Linked DNA regions of Callithrix jacchus. The protein of the gene in region 1 purifies or fractionates together with the protein of each later gene. This does not show direct contact. Links are inferred from orthologs where the notes say so. Each region holds a gene or a part of one and is shown in the gene's direction. Other genes may lie near its edges.

Region 1 (3,953 bases):
TGAACACAATTTCTCATTTTTCAATAATTTCTTTCTTTATTTATTTTTTGAGATAGAGTCTCACTCTGTCACCAGGCTGGAGTGCAGTAGCACGATCTCGGCTCACTGCAACCTCAGCCTCCCTGGTTCAATGAATTCTCCTGCCTTAGCCTCCCGAGTAGCTGGGATTACAGGCACCTGCCACCATCCCCAGCTAATTCTTCTATTTTTAGTAGAGACGGGGTTTCACCATGTTGGCTAGGATGGTTTTGATCTCCTGACCTTGTGATCTGCCCGCGTCGGCCTCCCACTGTGTTGGGATTGCAGGCGTGAGCTACCCAGCTCGGGCAGTTTTCAATAATTTCTAAGCACACACTCATTAACTGCGAAGATACCTTAACACATCGTGAACTCAATGTTTCACCCGGGCAAATGTCAAAAGCAATGACAGTACAGCCAAAAAGTTTATTCACTGTCTAAACTACGTGGATTTAAATATATTCTACTTAATTTGCTATGGAATGAGGCTCCCACTTATCCTTAAAATAACATGCTTAGTGTCTGGGAAGGGCTTTAGAAATCAGGTAGAGTCCGAGTGAGGGTAAACGACCCAACTTTCTGAATATCCACTGTCTAAGGAAAGTTGACTCTCCCTAACCCTGAAACACAGCTACGGCAGCCACAAGGAAATCAAACGTCTCGCTATCTGCACTTGGGCCGTCTACCCCAGTTCTGGGCAAATGACCCGCAAGCTAAGGCTAGCACAGGCCGGCACACTACGAAGAGCCACCGGATCCCCTGTCTCGGATGAAGAGATGCGGTTTCACAGCCGACTCCACCCGAGTCCCGACACCAGGTTCTTCCAAGCTCCCTCCCTGCCCGCCTCGCCCCCCTAGATTCGCACATGCGTACACCCAATAAAGAGAGCCGAGACCTCTCCCCCTCGCGTGGTCCCCACACCCAGCTGCCACGCAGCCGGTCCTCCTGCCCTTCTTTGGCGGTTGGCTTCACTATCCAGTAACACGCATGTGCAAAACTGCGCGGCCCTACAATTCCTTAGCAGGCAGGGGTGGGGCTGTCAGTGGGACCAAGTTTCTTGCGCACGCTCCGGACATGCGCAGTGCGGGAGCTGAGGCGCCAGCTGTCGATTTGGAAGTTCCGGGGAAGTCGCGCATGCGTGAGTGTACGCGTTGCCGGCGAAGAGGGGAGCCTGACGACTCGGAAATTTGAATACCACAGTAGCATGGAGTGTGACCTCATGGAAACTGACATCTTGGAGTCGTTGGAAGATCTAGGGTAAGACTGCCAGGGCACGGGTCTCCCAAGCCCTACACTGCCGGCCCCCTGGGAACGCCTCCAGCACCCCAGTCTGAGACACCTGCCTCTCCACGCCGCACCCCGTGGCTCCTGGCTGTCTCTTCCCTTTGGCCCCGGAACCCCCCAATGCCACGTCCTCTGTCTGCACTGCTCTCTCGGGGTCCTCCAATCCCAACACCCCTAGGCCAGCCCGGTGCTTCCTGCAGCCGAGCTACCCGCAGTGTTTGTCAGTCATGCGTGTCATTGTCTGGGCTCTGGTTCTCGCCACCCCCACTCCCCGAGCTTCTCTCCTTGCTTCATCTTCCTGCCCTGCCCTTAATCCCCCAACTCTAAATTTGCCAAAGTTGGTTCTGCTTTCCTACTTGTTCTCCAAATTTCCTGCTCCCATCTTGAGCCCCTACTCCTACCTCACCCCACTTCTCTCAAAATTTCTCGTTTGCCCAGTCATCTCTGCATGCACCCAGGCTTCCCTAAGCCACATGTATGAGCGTTGCATCTGTTCCGCTAGCCAGCTCACTTGTGCATCTAACCTATCACCACCTCCTTGGGAACCACCGGCAGTTTCCCTTGATTCTGTGACTCTCTGCCTCGTTGAGCCCCATTAGACCAGGGTCGTCTTCACCCACCAAGAAGCTGCATATTTGTTTTGCATTTTGTCTCTCCTCCTCCTGATAGTTATTCAACCATAATTCAACAGGATCTAGAAGCTGGAAATAGGGTTTGTTATCTCACTGGGTCACCCAGATCAGTGAACTCTATTAAACTTGAGAACGTGTAACCTCTTGGGCTATGTGGTTCCAGTAACAAATTATATGATTAGATATTTACCTACAGGTACGGTATCAGAACAAAGTACAGATTTAGCTGGCTAAGTAACAAGTTCTTTATCAAAACTCTCTCTTGTTTTTCCACAACAACAAGGAAATCTTTGAGAGAAACCTTTCTTTAGGAAAAAACACCTTGAGGATTCATCTTTCTTTGTCAAAGTGAAATACCATTGTTCTTTTCTTGGAAACTTGCTTTGAATTTTCATAAATATTCCAGACTTTAGGGCGCTTCTTTCATTAGGGCACATGTTAAAGTCATTCACCAAAATAGTCTCTTTAGTTGACATCTCAGACTGAATTGCCTGTTCACACATGAAACCATTCATTCATTAGGCCTTTTAAAGGAACAGTTGCTTTGTGGCAGTGTTGGGTACTTAGGGTACAAAGTGAGGTGGAAGAAGGGTTCACAGGATGCTGGAAAAATATGCTTTGAGGAGCCCTGAGGAGGGTCCCTTCACTGGGAAAGGAAATGAAGTCCTAGAAGCTTCTTTCTGGAATAAATGACACCGTAGTACTGAAGGAAGAGTGGAATGAAAGGGAGTAGCAAGACCTTATTTAAATAGTCTTTCTGCATGGATGGTGGTCACTTAAGAATTGGCCACCGATGCTGTTTCTTCCCATTGTCTCTTTTTTCCCTCCTTTTTAAAAAACTTTTTATTCTTTTGGGTACTCTACAAGTAATTGTTACTGTAGTAATTGTAATCACATAAATACTTGAGTTGGATTGTAATGTAAACAATGGATTTTCCAAAAATGATTATACATTTTAACCTTAACTACTTATTGTGGTGGCGTTCATACATTAAAAAGTCTTAATTAATTGAAATGTACTTTTCAGGGATTCACTGGGAAATATTAGAATTAAACGACTACCTTTTCTATTTATTTATTAAGAGATGAGGTCTCTCTCTGGTAACCAGTTTTGTCACCAACTCCTGGGCTCAAGTGATCCTCCCACCTCAGGCTCCAGAGTAGCTGGAACTACAGGTGTATGCACTGATCCCCCAAATGACTCTTTTGTCTCTTACGTGGCACCCAGTAGGAATTCAGTAACTACTTGTTGAATAAACTAATGAAGCCTAAATGTGAAACACAGGGAGAAACTTCTAGGTCTAGTCTTTTGATTCTGGTATCTAATAATATGTAGTTTCTAAATCTAGATGCCAGACTACATGTAATCTCATTTTTTTGTGTATGATTTTTTTCATTCTGTTGCATATACTGTATATACCTATAATCATATTTTAAAGGGATTGAGAACTCATTTCTCTAACATATCTGTATCTCTAAACATTATCAAGCATATTTACTGTAACATCTTGAATAAGTGTTATTATCAATATTTAAGAGAATATAAAACAATCTGAATAATACGTATATGATTACTTGGAGTGACAAAAGTTTTTTTTTTTTTTGAGACAGAGTTTCGCTCTTGTTACCCAGGCTGGAGTGCAATGGCATGATCTCGGCTCACCGCAACCTCCGCCTCCTGGGTTCAGGCAATTCTCCTGCCTCAGCCTCCTGAATAGCTGGGGTTACAGGCACGCGCCACCACGCCCAGCTAATTTTTTGTATTTTTAGTAGAGACAGGGTTTCACCATGTTGACCAGGATGGTCTTGATCTCTTGACCTCGTGATCTACCCGCCTCGGCCTCCCAAAGTGCTGGGATTACAGGCGTGAGCCACGGCGCCTGGCCCGACAAAAATCTTAAATTTTAGAATATTGGTGATTGGAGTTCATTATGACTATCATCTTTTATGAACGTTTGAACATCTTTAAATTTTTAAAAATTACATTAGGATTACTTAAAAGGATTAGGATTCAGATGC
Region 2 (4,173 bases), on another chromosome or scaffold:
GGATTACCAGCAGGCGCCACCACGCCCGGCTAATTTTTTATTTTTATTTTTAGTAGAGACGGGGTGTCTCCATGTTGGTCAGGCTGGTCTCAAACCCTGGACCTCAGGAGATTCGCCTGCCTTGGCCTCTCAAAGTGCTGGGATTACAGGTGTGAGCCACTATGCCCGGCCATATGTACACTTAAAATTAAGATGGTAAGTTTTATACAATGAATATTTTACAATTTAAAAAATCCCCCAATCTATAACATGTATTGAGAAATGTGCGTTTTACATGTATAATCAGTTTAATAAATAATTATCAAGCAAATATATGTATAATCACCACCTGTCCCAAAAGTTATCAGAGTAACCTGTGTCCCTCCCCATCACAACCCTCTTCCTTCCTAACCACTATCACGGCTCTAACATTTGCTTTTGAAAATCATACTGTGATGTGGTAATGCAGGATAAGTTAAATCAACACTACAAAACAGCACAGAATATTTCCTTAAATTCCAATTTTTCCAAGTGCAAAAAAAAAAAAAACCACAACAACCCACTTAACTTTTAAGTTCTCTTTCTCCCCTTCCTGTGCTCTGGAAACTTCACATTCTAAAACCTATTTTAGTTCCACAGTTGACCTCACCTGCAAAGTTTAATTAAAAAAAAAAAACAAAAAAACCTTCAGTATAGATTTTCATTCCTCCCACTCTCCCTTGCCTCCAACTACAAAGAAACAATGATTTAAACCCTTTGTGCCCTTTTAGAAAATTACACAGATACCCCATTGTGGAACCCAATAATCCCTTCGTGGAAAGGAAGAGATTAGCATATGAATACAAAGCAAAATGAATCCAGAATACAAAATGATCTACTGGATTGGGAAGCTCTTGTATTCTTAAAAATGTATTTATTTCCTCTTTTTGTATTGCCTCTTTAGTGGTCGCGGGGTTAAGGGAATTGAGCTTCCCTTTCTGGCTACCCGGAAAAGGATTTTTTAAAAAACCAAAAAAACACCAGATTCTAAGAAGTGCAAAACCAACAGATGGCTCCCAGCGCCAGTGGAATCGCCAGTGGAATCTGCTACACTAGACACGAGCTTGTTTGCCGGCGAGGAGTGTAGAAAGTGCTGTTCGCAGACTGCGTGGTGAAGGAGAGAAAGCGACAGAAGAGAGAGCCATAGTGCTGACGTTGAAGGCCCGGCCCTGTGAGGTTGCACAGGGTAAGTGGCGTTGGCCAGGCGGCAGCGGGGAAGGGGAAGGAAAGAGGATTTGAGCTGGGGGCGGGGCTTGCGGCGCAGCGTGGCTCCTGATTGCTGGAGCGCGACTGCCAATCTTGCAGAATCGCTCGGTTAACCAGTGCGCTGGCGAGACGCGCTCAGATATACTGAGTGAGCCCTGAGAAGCAGTCTCAGATCCTGACGGTGCAGCAGCCCGCAGCCTCACCCAGGGAGTCCCAGCCGCTTTCAATGGAGGAGAAGCCCGGCCAGCCACAGCCTCAGCACCATCACAGCCACCACCATCCGCACCATCACCCGCAGCAGCAGCAGCAGCAGCCGCACCACCACCACCATTATTATTTTTACAACCACAGCCACAACCACCACCACCACCATCATCACCAGCAGCCTCACCAATACCTGCAGCATGGAGCCGAGGGCAGCCCCAAGGCCCAGCCAAAGCCGCTGAAACATGAGCAGAAACACACCCTCCAGCAGCACCAGGAAACGCCGAAGAAGAAAACAGGTCTGGGAGGGAGGACGGGTGGGGGAAGGGGGTTGGGGGTGGAGGACAGGGGAGATGGGGGTGGGGCCAGATCCGAAGAGCGCGGACGGGGTGGAAGTGTGTGTGTGTACCCTCCGGCTGTGGGGATGCCCCCTTTCATTCTAGAGCTCGTGCTGGGCAATGGGGTTTGCAGCGCCCTCTCCTCCTCTCCAGCATAGGAGAGGCCCAGCTAGGCCAGCGTGACCTTCCCGGCCCCCGCCCCGGCTGAAGGGAGACCCGCTGGGTGGGCCTTGCAAGTCCAAGCTTATTATTCTTTCCCATTCACCTCCCTGCCGCCCTGGAGTTACCTCAATTTGGGGGCCCTGAGAGGGGGTGAACCTACCCCCCCCAGAAAATCCCTCGAGGTGGAACTCAGGAAGGCCTAGCGAATCCCGACTCAGGTGGTGTCGCGAGACCCTTTTGCAGCCGGCGAGGAGCGGGTAGGTGGGCTGAGTTGAAGAAGTGTCCCTCACCCGCCACCCCAAGCCCACCTGTGGCCTTGGGGCTCCCTGTCTTGCGGGGGGGGGCTGTTGGGACCCCTTGTCTCACGGGTCATTTCCACCACTAAACGCCCTTTTTGGGCGTCGGACCCTGCAGTCTTTCCCCTCGGCTCCTCCCGAGGCCGGCGCCCCGGGCTCGCTCCCCCTAGAGCCGGCGCGGCTGGAATGTTCTCTCCTCCTCGCGGGGCCGCTTCCTGTCCGCCATGTTGGAAGCCGATTCCTGTCACCGACTCTGGCCCACTGAGGAGCGGAGGGGGAAGGGTGTCGAGGTCCACAAGGCGCGGCGGAGCCGGGTGACCCGGGATCACCACCGGCCGCCGCCTCGCCCCCTGCACTGCGGGGGCACCGCCGACCCCCGCCCCGTGGCCGCCCCTCCCCCCGTCGCCGCCGGGGTTGTGTAACCCGGTGGCGGCGCGCGGCCCCGGGCGGGTCCCTGGGGTGAGGGGCGGGGGCGGTTGGGGTGGGGGAGGGAAGCAGCCACGAGGGGAGCGGCTTGCGTCGGGCCCCGCGCGCCAGCGGCCGCGTTTCCCGCTCCCGGGTGCGGCGGGAGGCGCGGGCAGTCGGGGCGGGGAGCCGGCCTCGAAGCAGAGCTGTGGGGGGGAAGGAGGCCGCGGGTTGCGGCCGCGCTGCTCCTCGGGGCAGGAGGCCTTGGAGGGGCGGCGGGGGGATTCATTTTGGGTAGAGGCGGTGCCTGAGGCCGGGTGGGGTACCCAGCGGGAACCCAGCTCCCCGGTCACGAGTTTCTCTGCCACAGGAACCTCATCTCCTGCCAGGTTCGCTCACGACTCCGCCTCTGAGGCTTTCACTTGGGCCCTTTCCTTCTAACAGCTCATTTTCTATTTAAAAAAAAAACAAAAAACAAAAAACCTTGCTCCATTCCCCTCCCCACCCAGCCCTTACCTTCTGAGCTTGGGCAGTGTCTTTGAGGTGAGGAATTTTAAAAAGTGTTAGGATGGGGAAGAGGGCGAGCTTTTTGACTCCTCTTTCTTGTCCTTATGGGTGAACCCGAGTGGCTCATCCATGAGGTTAGATTACTACCATCTTGCCTGGGATGAGGTTTCTCTCCATGTTAAAAAGAAAGGTTTTTCATATTTTAAAACCGATATTGATCCCCAAACTAATCTTAAACGAGAAATTGAGGTAAAAGTCATAAAGTGTTTCACGAGGAGTTTAAAAGTTTAATACCATGCAGATTTTTAAAAATAAGGGCTCTTTATAAATCCAAAGAGAAGAAGCATCAGCATATGTTAAACTCAGCGTATTAAATTTGAGAGAAGGAATTATTGAGAGCTGGGGGAAAACTTTTATTGCAGATCGTAACTTGAAGATTGAAATTACAATGTCAGATTTTCCATTTTGGGAGTTGTTAGGGACCGATGGCATGCAGTAGAAGTGAACACATGTGAGTTAGGTGTTTAATGCTAAAGATCTGGAGCAGTTTAAAAACTGTTAGGGACTATATAACTAGATCTTTTTAGCATTAGATCTTGTTCAAAAGATGAGGAAATACTACCATATTATGGCTATATAAGACAATATGACTGTTGAGATTGAAAATTGAATTTTATTGGTCAGGTTAATACACTGTTGCAGGACTTCTTTCTCTATATAAGCAGCCCCTAAACCATTCAAAGTGGTATTCCTCCAAATATGTGTTATCTTGGAAGGGGTAGTGGATAAAGAGGAAACTGAAATTAGCAGTTTTGACAAAATGTAAACAGTTTTGGGCGAGTGTATGGTTTGGTCACAGTGCTGTTGCTTTGACATGCATAATGCTAATAACTAAGAAAACATTAGAATATTTTTGAAATTTATCTGTAACATATTGAGGTAGGCTTTTGTAGCCCTTTACTCACAAATCTAAAGAGGAACAGTTTTTTATCCAGAAGAGGGCGCAAGAGAAGGCCAAATGTGTTGAGTAATTTGTA
Region 3 (4,152 bases), on another chromosome or scaffold:
TCTTTTCACTTTCTTAAAAAAGCTCCCCACTGCTTTAAGGATAATGTCCAGGTCTCTTACAAGACTTGCCAGCCTTTAAAACGTGGTCCCAGGTTAGTTACCTCTTCCCCCTTTAATTTTATGGTTAGATCAAGCAGAGTTCTTCTTAGTCACATCCTATTCCCCTGCCTAGAAACCCATCTCCCAGCCAGGAATGGTGGCTCACGCCTGTTAATCCCAGCACTTTGGGAGGCCAGGGTGGGTGGATCACCTGAGGTCAGGAGTTCAAGACCAGCCTGACCAACATGGTGAAACCCCGTCTCTTTAAAGATGCAAAAATTAGCTGGGCATGGTGGCACATGCCTGTAATCCCAGCTACTCAGGAGGCTGAGGCAGGAGAATTGCCTGAACTCAGGAGGAGGAGGAGGTTGAAGTGAGCTGAGATCTTGCCATTGTAATCCAGCCTGGGCAACAAGAGCAAAACTCTATGGCGGGGGTGGGGGTGGGGAGAGGAAGAAACCCATCTCCCTACCCTCTTATCAGTTGTTTTTTTAAAAAATAATTTAAAATTTATTTCTTGTAGAGACAAAGTCTCACTGCATTGCCCAGGCTGTTAAACTCCTGGCCTCAAACGCTCCTCCTGCCTTAGACTACCAAAGTGTTAGGATTACAGGTGTCAGAGCCACTGCCTCTGGCCCTCTTGTTGGTTATCTGGTCACCCAATACTTCATTAAGATTAGGTGTCACTACCATTTGCTCTTGTAGTGCCCTGTGCTTCACCTACTAGGTTTCGTCAAATTCTCTGAATCCACCACTAGTGTGAAATCTTTGAGAGCAGAAAGCATTTTAATTATCCTGTGTCCAAAACACGTACCTAAATGCCCAACTCATTTTGAATAAATGAAGTTACCTTCTTTGTAGGGTTGGGTGGAGGATTTTCAACTCAGAACTTTGGACTTCAGATAGTCTTTGTTACTACAGTTTAAAGATTCATTCTCGGGCATGGAAGAACAATTTAGGTTAAAATCAATAAAATTTACAATTTAGGACGAGGCATAAATTCATATGCAAATATCACGCTCAAACGAAGGATTTATGCTCATCAGTCTTTTACTTAAAGCAAACAGGGTGGAGAATAGCTCCTTGCGAAACATACCACCTGCCTAAAAGTGCAGTCGCTCGGGCGCTCCAGTCCAGGAGAGGTTTTTGGCACTTAAGGCTCCGCCCAAAGGCCCCCAAGTGGCGGAAGAGCCTCACGCACGACGTGCCGCCTCACACTCCCGCGGAGGCGTCGCGACGCAGCGCCGATGTGGGCGGAGCGGCCGGCCCTTCCTCTGGCGCCTTCGGCTCCTCCCCCAGCGCCTCACACGCTCATTGTGAAGCGACCGCGGCCGCCGGCTTCTAAGGCGGTTTGAGACCTTGAGACCCTAAATCCTTGGCGCGCGTGAGCGCCCGCGCCGCTCCTTACCCACTCCCAGGGCTAGGGGTGCGAGGTTCACCGACTTGATTCTCTCCCTCCCTACCGCAGGAGGTGACCGCGCCGGTGTGCGCTGCACCTCGCGCCACCGCTCGCTCCGGCTGCCCCTCCCCCCGGGAGCTCCCGCCCGCGCGCTCCTCCCTCCCCGCGCCCCGGCGACGCGCACGCGCGCCAGCCCGGCTCGCGCCCTCTCGCTTTCCTCCAGCCCGCGAGACCCCCTCCCCTTCCGCCTCGCGGCGCTTCCTCGCGCCGCGGTCTTCTCTCTCCACCCCCGACACCGCGGGGCTCCCCCCGCCCGCCAACGGCGGGCCCCGGCTGCCCGATCCCCCTCGCTTCCCGCGCTCTCCGGCGGGGCCCCAGCCCCGGCCCCCTCTCTCCCTCCCTTCCCTCTGATTCCCCTTCCGGACGCTGCCATCATGTTGAAGCCTCAGCCGCCACAACAGCCCTCCCAGCCCCAGCAGCCGCCCCCCACGCAACAGGCCGTGGCCCGCCGGCCCCCCGGGGGCACCAGCCCTCCCAACGGCGGGCTCCCGGGGCCGCTGGCCACCTCCGCGGCTCCGCCCGGGCCTCCAGCGGCCGCCTCCCCCTGCCTGGGGCCTGTGGCCGCTGCCGGTAGCGGGCTCCGCCGGGGAACAGAAGGCATCTTGGCGCCGCAGCCGCCGCCGCCGCAGCAGCAGCACCAGGAGAGGCCAGGGGCTGCCACCATCGGCAGCGCCAGGTGAGGACGGTGGGCTCCGGGCGGGGAAGCCTCGGCCACCCGGAGACGGGCTCGGTTCCGGCGGGGCGTACCCCGACTCGGCACCGTGAGGGGCACCGGCGGGGCGAGGAGCCCCCGTGAAGCCGGGGGAGGGCCCCCTCAGGTCCAAACAGGTCGGAGGGAAAGGGTCCCCGAGCTGCTACCGGAACGCTGAGGGGCCGCGCTCGGCTCTCGGGGCCTAGTCAGGGCTCGCAGTCCCGGCCTTCAGGGGAGGCGGGGCGCATCCCGCCGGCGCCGTCGAAACGGGGAGTTGGGGGGGCGAGGAGGTGATCGGGGTCCCCGGTTCCATTACCACGAAGGGTCTCGCGGTTCCCGGCTTTAGCCAATAGGGAGTCTGCTGCGGGAAGGGGTCCCCGGCCGTAGCCAATGGAGGGGGGCGCGCGGCCCACAGTTTGGCCAATGGGGAGGGAGGGACTTGGGAGCGGGTTGCTGCCTCCCTTTTCCCGTCGGTCTGGCCAGTAGGAGGGGAGCGAGGTGGGCGGGGGGACGGAAGGAGGGACGGCTGGGAGGACTGCGGGACGGGAACCTCTGGCGCGCGCGCCCCCTTCCCGTACGTGCGCGTGGATGCTCGGTCTCATGACCCGGGCATTCGCGCGTCCCTGGAACACCTAGGGCAGGAGCTGGGACAGTTCGTGGAGGGGCTCGTCTGGTGGCGGTGCATGAGTAGTGGACGCCCTGCTCAGTTTTTTCTGTGTGTGCGTGTGTGTTAATAGAACTGAGAGTGGCGGCACACGCAGGCGCAGTGGGCTCTGATCGCGCGAGGTGGGGGGGTTTTGAAGAGGCCCGTGGGCCTTAGTGCGCAGGCGCAGACCGGGCGATGCCTCCCGGTGGATGGCTTTTGCGGCTGCGCTGTCCCCCAGCCCCGCCAGCGGCCCCCTCTTCGCCCTCCTCAACCGCCGGTTACATCAGCCAGCGACGAGCAGGGTTACCTGGCGTTTGGTGACATCCGCAGAGTGGGTAACGGGGTGAATGAGTTATGAGGTCGAGGGGATGGGATGTGGAAGGGATACCCCCTCCTCCCAGGGTTTGAGGCGTCAGGCTGCTGAAAATATGATTGTCTTTTCTGTTTGGGAGGTAATGTGCCTGAGCTAGGTAGTTTCGAAGCTGCACTCCTGGAGCTTTGCCTGCACAGCTGGGGTGGGTTTTTGGTTAATCCGTAGCATTGATCTGTTGGTAACATGCAGGCAGCCCTAACCCCTTTCTCGTTGGTTTTTAGAGCAATTGACAATCGTTGTTGATTGAGATCTTTTTTTACTGGCATTAGGAGGAAATGTGTTTCCTGGCTTTTTAACGCCTACTTTTTTCTTCCTCTGCAAGATGAAAATCTTATTGATTGGCCAGGCGAAGTGGCTCGTGCCTGTAATGCCAGCACTTTGGGAGGCAGAGGTGGAGGATCCCTTGAGCCCAGGAGATCGAGACCAGCCTGGGCAACATAGGGAAATCCCATCTCTACTAAAAATGTAAAAAAAAAAAAAAAAAAAACCAGGAGTGGTGGTGCCCACCTATAATCCCAGCCACTTGGGAGGCCAAGGCAGGAAGATTTGAGGCTGCAGCGAGCTGAGATTGTGCCATTGCACCCCAGCCTGGGCAACAGAGGGAGACCCTCTCAAAAAAAAAAAAAAAAAAAAGGAAAAAATCTTACTGATTAATGATTTTGTAGTCCAAATCAGCATCATCAAGTGGTATATGCTTCTGGAATGGAACATTAATTTCAAAGTGGTCTAAGAAGGCTTGAACAGACTTAAATAACTAATTTTTTGTTTTTTTCTCTTATAGGGGACAGAGCACAGGAAAGGGACCCCCACAATCACCTGTGAGTGTCTCCTCCCACCCTCTTTAAGATACGTGGACCTAAAAGATGCATAATGTGAGAATTTAGGGCACATTAGGTCTAGAGAGAGTCTGATGTACTCAGGAGGGCTGTGGGCCCAACACACAC
Region 4 (3,340 bases), on another chromosome or scaffold:
TACCTGATAATGCAAAAACTGCTGACAATGCAACTAAAAATGCAGAACCATTGATCAATTTGGATGGTGAGTATATAATGCGTAACATTGAACATCAATATTTTGGGTTGCTTAAATGTTTTTTACTTTAAAGAATGAAATCCACGTTGACTTGGTTTTAGTAAATTAACAAGGATCCATGCAGACAGTATTTATGTTGACCTTTTATTCTCTATGTTTTTATAGTGTGCTTTCTTCTTCCCCTTGCATTTGAACATCTGAATGTTAATTTGATTTGCTTCTAGAAATTTGAGGTTTTAATTTGTATTTAATCATGGGGCCATTGTTTACCTTTTTGAATGTATAAATTTCTTTTAATCCAGCGACTGGTGAGACGTGGTAAAATTTTCCATTAAGTCTCAGATGTCTTTGAGTAATTTCTCTTTTTAAAAGTATGAAGAATCTAATTACCTAGATTATAATATGTTAAATATTCCTTCACTGGCTAATTCATTGTGACCTCTAATTTAGGAGTTAACCCTTTTTAATGAGAGAGGCGTTTAGACACTCCTGGGCCACTGCTTAGAGAGAAGGTTTTGGGAAAACTATCCATTGAGGGGATCTGTGTATTAAAATTAAAAGCCTTGAGAAGAAATGTTAATTAAAAGTGCTACATAAATTAGCCTTGCAGAAAAAGTTACAGGACAAACCTAATGTGAGTTAAATTAGTCATTTATTGAATTATTCAAGTTGGCTGATGAAGTACAGATGCTCCTTGAATGATGATGAGATCATTTTGAAAATATCATAAATCATTACCTGAATATCAGAATTCATGTAACACCCCAAAAGACCCATTGTAAAGTTGAAAAATGAAACTGGAAGCACTGTAAGTTCAGATTTTCCTCACCTTGCATTAGAGTTACATCCCACTGAATTCATTCTAAGATCAAAAGCTTGTAAGTCCAACCATCCTAAGTTGGGGACCGTCTCATACAGTCATAGGAAAACCATTTTATCTTTTACCAATTTATTTAGTTGTTGATAGTCTGCAGGGCTTCATTTTTTATCTCGTGAGTAGCAGTTTTAAAAACTAAGAGATTTGTTGTTACCGAAAAGTGAAAAATATTTTTGTATGTCCACAAATATGTCTGTAATTATACATTTGCAGAGTTGTAAGTTTTTCTTTATTTTTAATCTTCTATAGTAAATAATCCTGATTTTAAGGCTGGTGTGATGGCTTTGGCTAACCTGCTTCAGATTCAACGTCATGATGATTACCTGGTAATGCTTAAGGTCAGCTTCATGGTCTGGATTCTTGACAGAAACTGCATGTAGATAAATGTCTTTATTTTCTAAATATCAACTATTGATATTAAAATTTATGATCAAATGACTAAAATACAGTAGAAGAATGTGGGATATAAAACAGATTTCACGGTTTTATCTAATTTGGATTGTCTGTTTTGTGCCTGCCACTATGCTAAATCCTTTGCAAAGATGTTCTCATTCAATCTTGCCAACAGTCCTAGAGACAAATGCTAATATCTTTTTAAAAATATATATGATATGAAGAAACTGAGACTTAATGAGGATAGGTAAATGTGTCTAAAATGACAGAGCCAGGATTTTGAGCACTGTAACTCTGTGGTCCATTCTCTTTCCCACATTACCCTACTTCTGTTCAGTTAGTCCTTTTAATGATTCATGGTCTGTATTCATTAAGACAGTGAAAACTGCCAAATGAGTAATGGTGAATTTGGTCAGAAATATATATAACCCCAAAATCTCTTTGAGAAATGAATCTTTCTGTCCCCCATCCTACATAGTCCACTCAGTTTATAACTATACTTCAGGGAGCCCAGTAATCTTAAAGAGGTCTCTTGTTTCTGAGAGAAATCATAAATTTCAAAAGATTTATTCCTAGTAATCATGCAGGTACAGTGGTGTGGATCAGGGGAGTGGTACTTAAGATACCAGACTTGGAAATTATTTTAGAAATTATTAACGATTTTACAAGAGATTAAAAGCCAGACCTTGTGCATATAAACTACTTTGTGATAAGTTGAATAATTAAATTTCACTCTACCCAGAAGAGATTAAGCTATAACTTAACATGCTTTTTAGATTTTTATGTACTAAATATCAGTTTTGACAACACTGTTGTATTCCTAAGGTATTAAAATTTTCTGTACTGTATCTGAATGTTAACTTGGATTTTCTCAAAACAGATTGCATGCCTAAAGACAAAAATGTTTGTAGTGAAATTTAGCTATTTCGAAGGCTTGTTCTTTATTCAGACAATTATGTTAATTGCCTTGGAACAGTTCTACAGTGATCATGTCAGCTTTAATCATAAAGTAAGTGAGAGGAGCATCAGACAATGGATAGTGTATTTGGGGTTCTTTTGTTAGACTTCAAAACCCAAGGAGATAAAGTATAAATCAGCTACAACAAAAAGCTATAAAATTCTAGTCCTAGCTGCACATTTTTTCCTTTTGAGTTATTTTAAGAGGCTTTCAAACAGTAACATAATATGGAAAACATCTTAGTACATTTGTCAAGTACAAGAATCAGTATATTAACTATTTGGCAACCAGAATGTTTAATATGTTTGCAGTCACTGTTAAACATTGTTTGAATTCTCTTTTTCAAAGATAGCATTTGGTTTTTTTATTTAAAGTTTTCACACTTATTTTTGAGTTGTAACTGTCATCTCTCTAATTAAAATTCATTTTAAAAAAATTTGACTTTTAAGTGTGTATGGATACTTGCATGCATGCATGCCATAATGAAATGCCTTGGTGATCAAAACCACCAACAGTGTCCTTTGAAAGGTAAGAAAATATTTTACTAGAGTGAAGTGATAAAAGCAAAGTGTAAGACACTATGCATGATCTGCTACCCTTTGTGTCAAAAATGTGTATTCGTGCATAAGCATGCTCATCATTTCACAGTTTTAGGGTGAGCGTACATAAGAATCTGTAGGGGATCACAGGGCTAGGAAGGAGACCTACTTTTTGCCATGTATCCTGCTGTATTTAATAGGCACATGCATTACCTATTCAAAAATAGTTTTAATTGTTGCAAGCATCACTCAACATTATTAAAATACTAGAAGTGTGAAAGGTTACCTTATATTAGTGGTTTGGTTTTTTATTTTTAATTTATTGGAGAGTTTATTAATGAACTAGGTAATTCTGACTTCATCAAATTGAGCGTCCTTATTCTCTAGGCTCATAGAAAAAAGGATGACAGGTAAACAACCTATAAAAAGTGAAAATATTTTTGGGTTTCTTAGGCAATTCGAATTTTGGTTCAGGAGCGCCTGACACAGGATGCAGTTGCTAAGGCAAATCAA
Region 5 (3,514 bases), on another chromosome or scaffold:
GATTTGTCAATACCATTGATCAAATAGTTTTCTAAATACTTAAAATAGTTCACATAACTGATAAGAATGTGCACTTTAATGACTTGCGGAGTAGTTTTCACTTCAGCATTACTTAAAATTGGCTTTTGTGTCAAGCAAAGTAATAAAACATTATATACGTTATTGACATATACATTATGTAGCATGATGAAATACTCGTGATATACTAAGATAAAGTGCTGCATTTAACCCAAGACAATCACTTGGCCAAAAACACTCCGCGTATAAAGAAATTGGAAACTTTGGATAGGTTCTCAATTTTAAAAACACTAGGTAATAAAATTATTTAGATATAATGTATATGGAAAATTTTAACCTATGTGCAACACTGTGGTTAATATAGATTCATTTTCATTAACTGTTTTTGTATTATGCTTCAAGAAAGGATCTCAGGTAACTTACAAGATATGATCAAGAGTCATGTGAAGAAAGTGACTAGAGAAATGTGCTTAAAAAACAACAAAAACAACTCAGTCTAAGGGTAGATGTTATAGTTTAGCAACTTAAGTTAAAGAAACCTGAATCTTTAGTAGGAAGACATATTTTACTCTACCTCTAAATCTAGATTGAATATATCTTGTAGGTTGTGGATCTTTTTCATAAATCAGGAATACTGAACAACAGTTCTATGGATGGTATGGAAATAGTAATAGCAATAATATGTTACTAACATTGAGAAAAGAGTGGATGTTCAATTTTAGATATTTAAATTTGGAAAGTTAGAAACATGAAAATAGAGAACACTAAGTTTCCAGTTTCGTTTGTTTTCATTGAGTCTTTTCTCCAGAATTCCTCTCCAAATGGACACTCTTGAGTATTTTCTGTACTTAATATTGGGGGTGAAATTTCTTTGCTCACTGAGGAAAGATTTTAGTTGTTCATAAACAGAATTTTAAAGTTAAAAAACCTTAAGGGGCTGGACAATGCATGATACTCAAGTGTGTGGAACTCCATGGAGAGGAGACCTGGAGTGTTTGATAAGATTAAGGTAAGTGATATGTAATGTTAAATACTAGCTGTATCTTTACCTGGGCATATCCATCAGTATAGATTTATTTGGTGATGACTGCCTTGTAATTGCAGTATTTACTAAGCAGTCGCTTAGATAAGTGTTTAACTGTATAAATTATTTAGAAGGTCTCCCTTTTTCAAGTTTAATGAGATCAAGACTTTTTTGAAAGAGCAATGAATATTAGCGTTTGATACTCCTGTGACTCTAGAAAAGAGTAATTTTTTTTTTCTGCTTCAATGGGACTTGCTTAATGAGATTTCAAACTGAATTTTAGGTTTAAACCTGATGAAAATCAGATGACTATAAGGAACCAGTATTTCTAATTGGATATAATAGCTACTGCTTATTTTCATTATGCTTCAAAGTTAAAACTAATACAGTAAATAATCTTATTCCTGAGTAGGAATTATTATGATTTATTATGTGAAATTATCTAATGTATGTTATATTCCTTTAAACAACTGATTACTTGAGAGTTATAGAAGCAGGATTAATAGGCAAAGTCTTAACTGTCTTCTTCAGTAGTGTGTGTAGATCCTAATTAACCCTTTGGGAACGTGTATTCATTTAAACAGACTTAATCTTAAGGAGGTTAAAGTAAAATGTGAATTTATGTCAGTTAAGTTATGTTAAAACTTATCACAAATCAAATGACTGTCCTCAAAGGGTTAAAATGTACGAGAAATCATTTTTGTCATTTTACTTTTTTTTCTGTTTACTTTTTTCCCTCATTTTTTTCTTTAGTTTTTATACTTTCCTTCATATCATTTGTTCTGTCAGGTGTTCCCTGGCCATCGCCTTGCCCATCTCCTTCCTCTCGCCCACCTTCTCGCTACCAGTCAGGTCCCAACTCTCTTCCACCTCGGGCAGCCACCCCTACACGGCCGCCCTCCAGGCCCCCCTCGCGGCCATCCAGACCCCCGTCTCACCCCTCTGCTCATGGTTCTCCAGCTCCTGTCTCTACTATGCCTAAACGCATGTCTTCAGAAGGTACAATACCACAATTTGTTCATGTTTTTGTTTGTCTTTGTTTAACTCCTATGTGAGTTTATAATTACAAAATAGTTTCCTCTTCATTATTTAATAACCTATAATTTCTGTGTTTTAACTTTAGTTTATTAAAACTATTTCTATTAACCTTTTGTTCATTAGAGAGAAATTTGATAAATGTTGTGTGAAGCTATGAATTATCTGAATCATTGTTAAAAAGGGATTTATCTCTGCCTGGTAATTATGCTTCTTTACAGCCCCAGAAAGGGCTGCCCCACAGCCTTATTTGCACTATATGCAGTAATGATAAACAAATGAACTTTCTTCAGCCAGTCTTGAACTTGGGTTCATTTTACAGCTCCTTGGCCAAGGTCCTAATGAACCTTTCTATTGGCTGTAAGAAGGAATGGTGTTTTGTCGGTCCTTTTTGAGAGTGACAGCCTATATAGCTGCCTTCGTGTGTCTGCTCTTAGATTAAAGTAGTTTGATTTTTAGAATGCCTGAGGAATTCTAAATTTTCACTGAGTAATTTTTTTAAGATTAGCTTTGCAATATTATATAGTGAAAGGCTGCTTTAATCTGGGAGAAGTCTTTTATCTAAGATAAAATTATGGATAAAAACCACGTATGAATTTGAATATTTAGCTATTTTTTTCCCTTCATATAAGGGAAAAAATAAGAATAAAATCTTGTAATTCTTTATTAGTATTTGGTGCTAAATCCAATATTGCAACATATCAAATACATGGATATGTTGTAGAAAAGTAACATTCTAATTTAAATGCCATGTATATATTAAAAACCTGTTTTCTGAATCATAATGTCCTCTTGATATTAGTTCTGAATATTTATGTTAACCTTTTAATCTGATTTATTCATTAAAATTATGCTTGATATTGCTTATATTGGGACAAATAAAGTTTTCTGCACAAAGTGTGTTTCTCCTGCTTCCCTGGAGAAAAGGAGGCTGCTTTTAAATAAATTGTTACCATCTAAGCAGGCAAGTCATGTGACTTTGATGCATGTAACCTTGAAGAGTAAGTTCCACTGATTTTCAAGGTGATTTCTTTACCAAAAGAGCCTTAATAGTGGTCACTAAATGCAAAGTTATTTTTCTTGCAGTCCATCATTTGAATAAGTAATATTTATATAATGAGAAAATATTTAAGACATGATCATTAATGACTGTTAACATCTTTATTACATTAAGATGTAAGGACTGCTCATGGACTATTCACACAGAAATATGCCTTCTGTGTCATTCAGAGATGTCAAATATTGCCATTTGAAAATTATAGTGTATAATATTAGCATTCTTTTAAAGATCAAGTTCATGTTTAAATTCTTCTTGGGAGCAAGACATGGTGGCTCACACCTGTAATCCCAGCACTTTAGGAGGCTGAGGCAGGCGGATCACTTGAGGTCAGGAGTTTGAGACCAGTCTGGCTAGCATGGTGAAACCTCGTCTCTACT

What was found.
Region 2: the proteins of FAM98A (region 1) and NUFIP2 purify together in Homo sapiens (co-immunoprecipitation; 3 studies listed by BioGRID and IntAct, with this or other methods). This does not show direct contact. The link is inferred for Callithrix jacchus from reciprocal best matches to the Homo sapiens genes FAM98A and NUFIP2.
Region 3: the proteins of FAM98A (region 1) and ATXN2L purify together in Homo sapiens (co-immunoprecipitation; 3 studies listed by BioGRID and IntAct, with this or other methods). This does not show direct contact. The link is inferred for Callithrix jacchus from reciprocal best matches to the Homo sapiens genes FAM98A and ATXN2L.
Region 4: the proteins of FAM98A (region 1) and RTRAF purify together in Homo sapiens (affinity purification with mass spectrometry; 4 studies listed by BioGRID and IntAct, with this or other methods). This does not show direct contact. The link is inferred for Callithrix jacchus from reciprocal best matches to the Homo sapiens genes FAM98A and RTRAF.
Region 5: the proteins of FAM98A (region 1) and ATXN2 purify together in Homo sapiens (co-immunoprecipitation; 3 studies listed by BioGRID and IntAct, counting the BioPlex papers as one, with this or other methods). This does not show direct contact. The link is inferred for Callithrix jacchus from reciprocal best matches to the Homo sapiens genes FAM98A and ATXN2.

The regions. Positions count from the first base shown.
Region 1 is NC_133515.1:81,385,811-81,389,763, forward strand, and holds the start of FAM98A (protein FAM98A), read left to right. Parts: upstream 1-1,152; 5' UTR 1,153-1,222; coding exon 1,223-1,275; intron 1,276-3,953. UniProt on the Homo sapiens protein: Positively stimulates PRMT1-induced protein arginine methylation. Involved in skeletal homeostasis. Positively regulates lysosome peripheral distribution and ruffled border formation in osteoclasts.
Region 2 is NC_133506.1:104,332,396-104,336,568, forward strand, and holds the start of NUFIP2 (FMR1-interacting protein NUFIP2), read left to right. Parts: upstream 1-1,361; 5' UTR 1,362-1,450; coding exon 1,451-1,727; intron 1,728-4,173. UniProt on the Homo sapiens protein: Binds RNA.
Region 3 is NC_133513.1:29,128,579-29,132,730, reverse strand, and holds the start of ATXN2L (ataxin-2-like protein), read left to right. Parts: upstream 1-1,344; 5' UTR 1,345-1,872; coding exon 1,873-2,174; intron 2,175-2,763; exon of another isoform or gene 2,764-3,044; coding exon of another isoform or gene 3,045-3,166; intron 3,167-3,989; coding exon 3,990-4,026; intron 4,027-4,152. UniProt on the Homo sapiens protein: Involved in the regulation of stress granule and P-body formation.
Region 4 is NC_133509.1:86,573,796-86,577,135, forward strand, and holds part of RTRAF (RNA transcription, translation and transport factor protein), read left to right. Parts: coding exon 1-66; intron 67-1,186; coding exon 1,187-1,275; intron 1,276-2,210; coding exon 2,211-2,339; intron 2,340-3,280; coding exon 3,281-3,340. UniProt on the Homo sapiens protein: RNA-binding protein involved in modulation of mRNA transcription by Polymerase II. Component of the tRNA-splicing ligase complex and is required for tRNA ligation.
Region 5 is NC_133510.1:114,383,326-114,386,839, reverse strand, and holds part of ATXN2 (ataxin-2), read left to right. Parts: intron 1-1,795; coding exon 1,796-2,041; intron 2,042-3,514. UniProt on the Homo sapiens protein: Involved in EGFR trafficking, acting as negative regulator of endocytic EGFR internalization at the plasma membrane.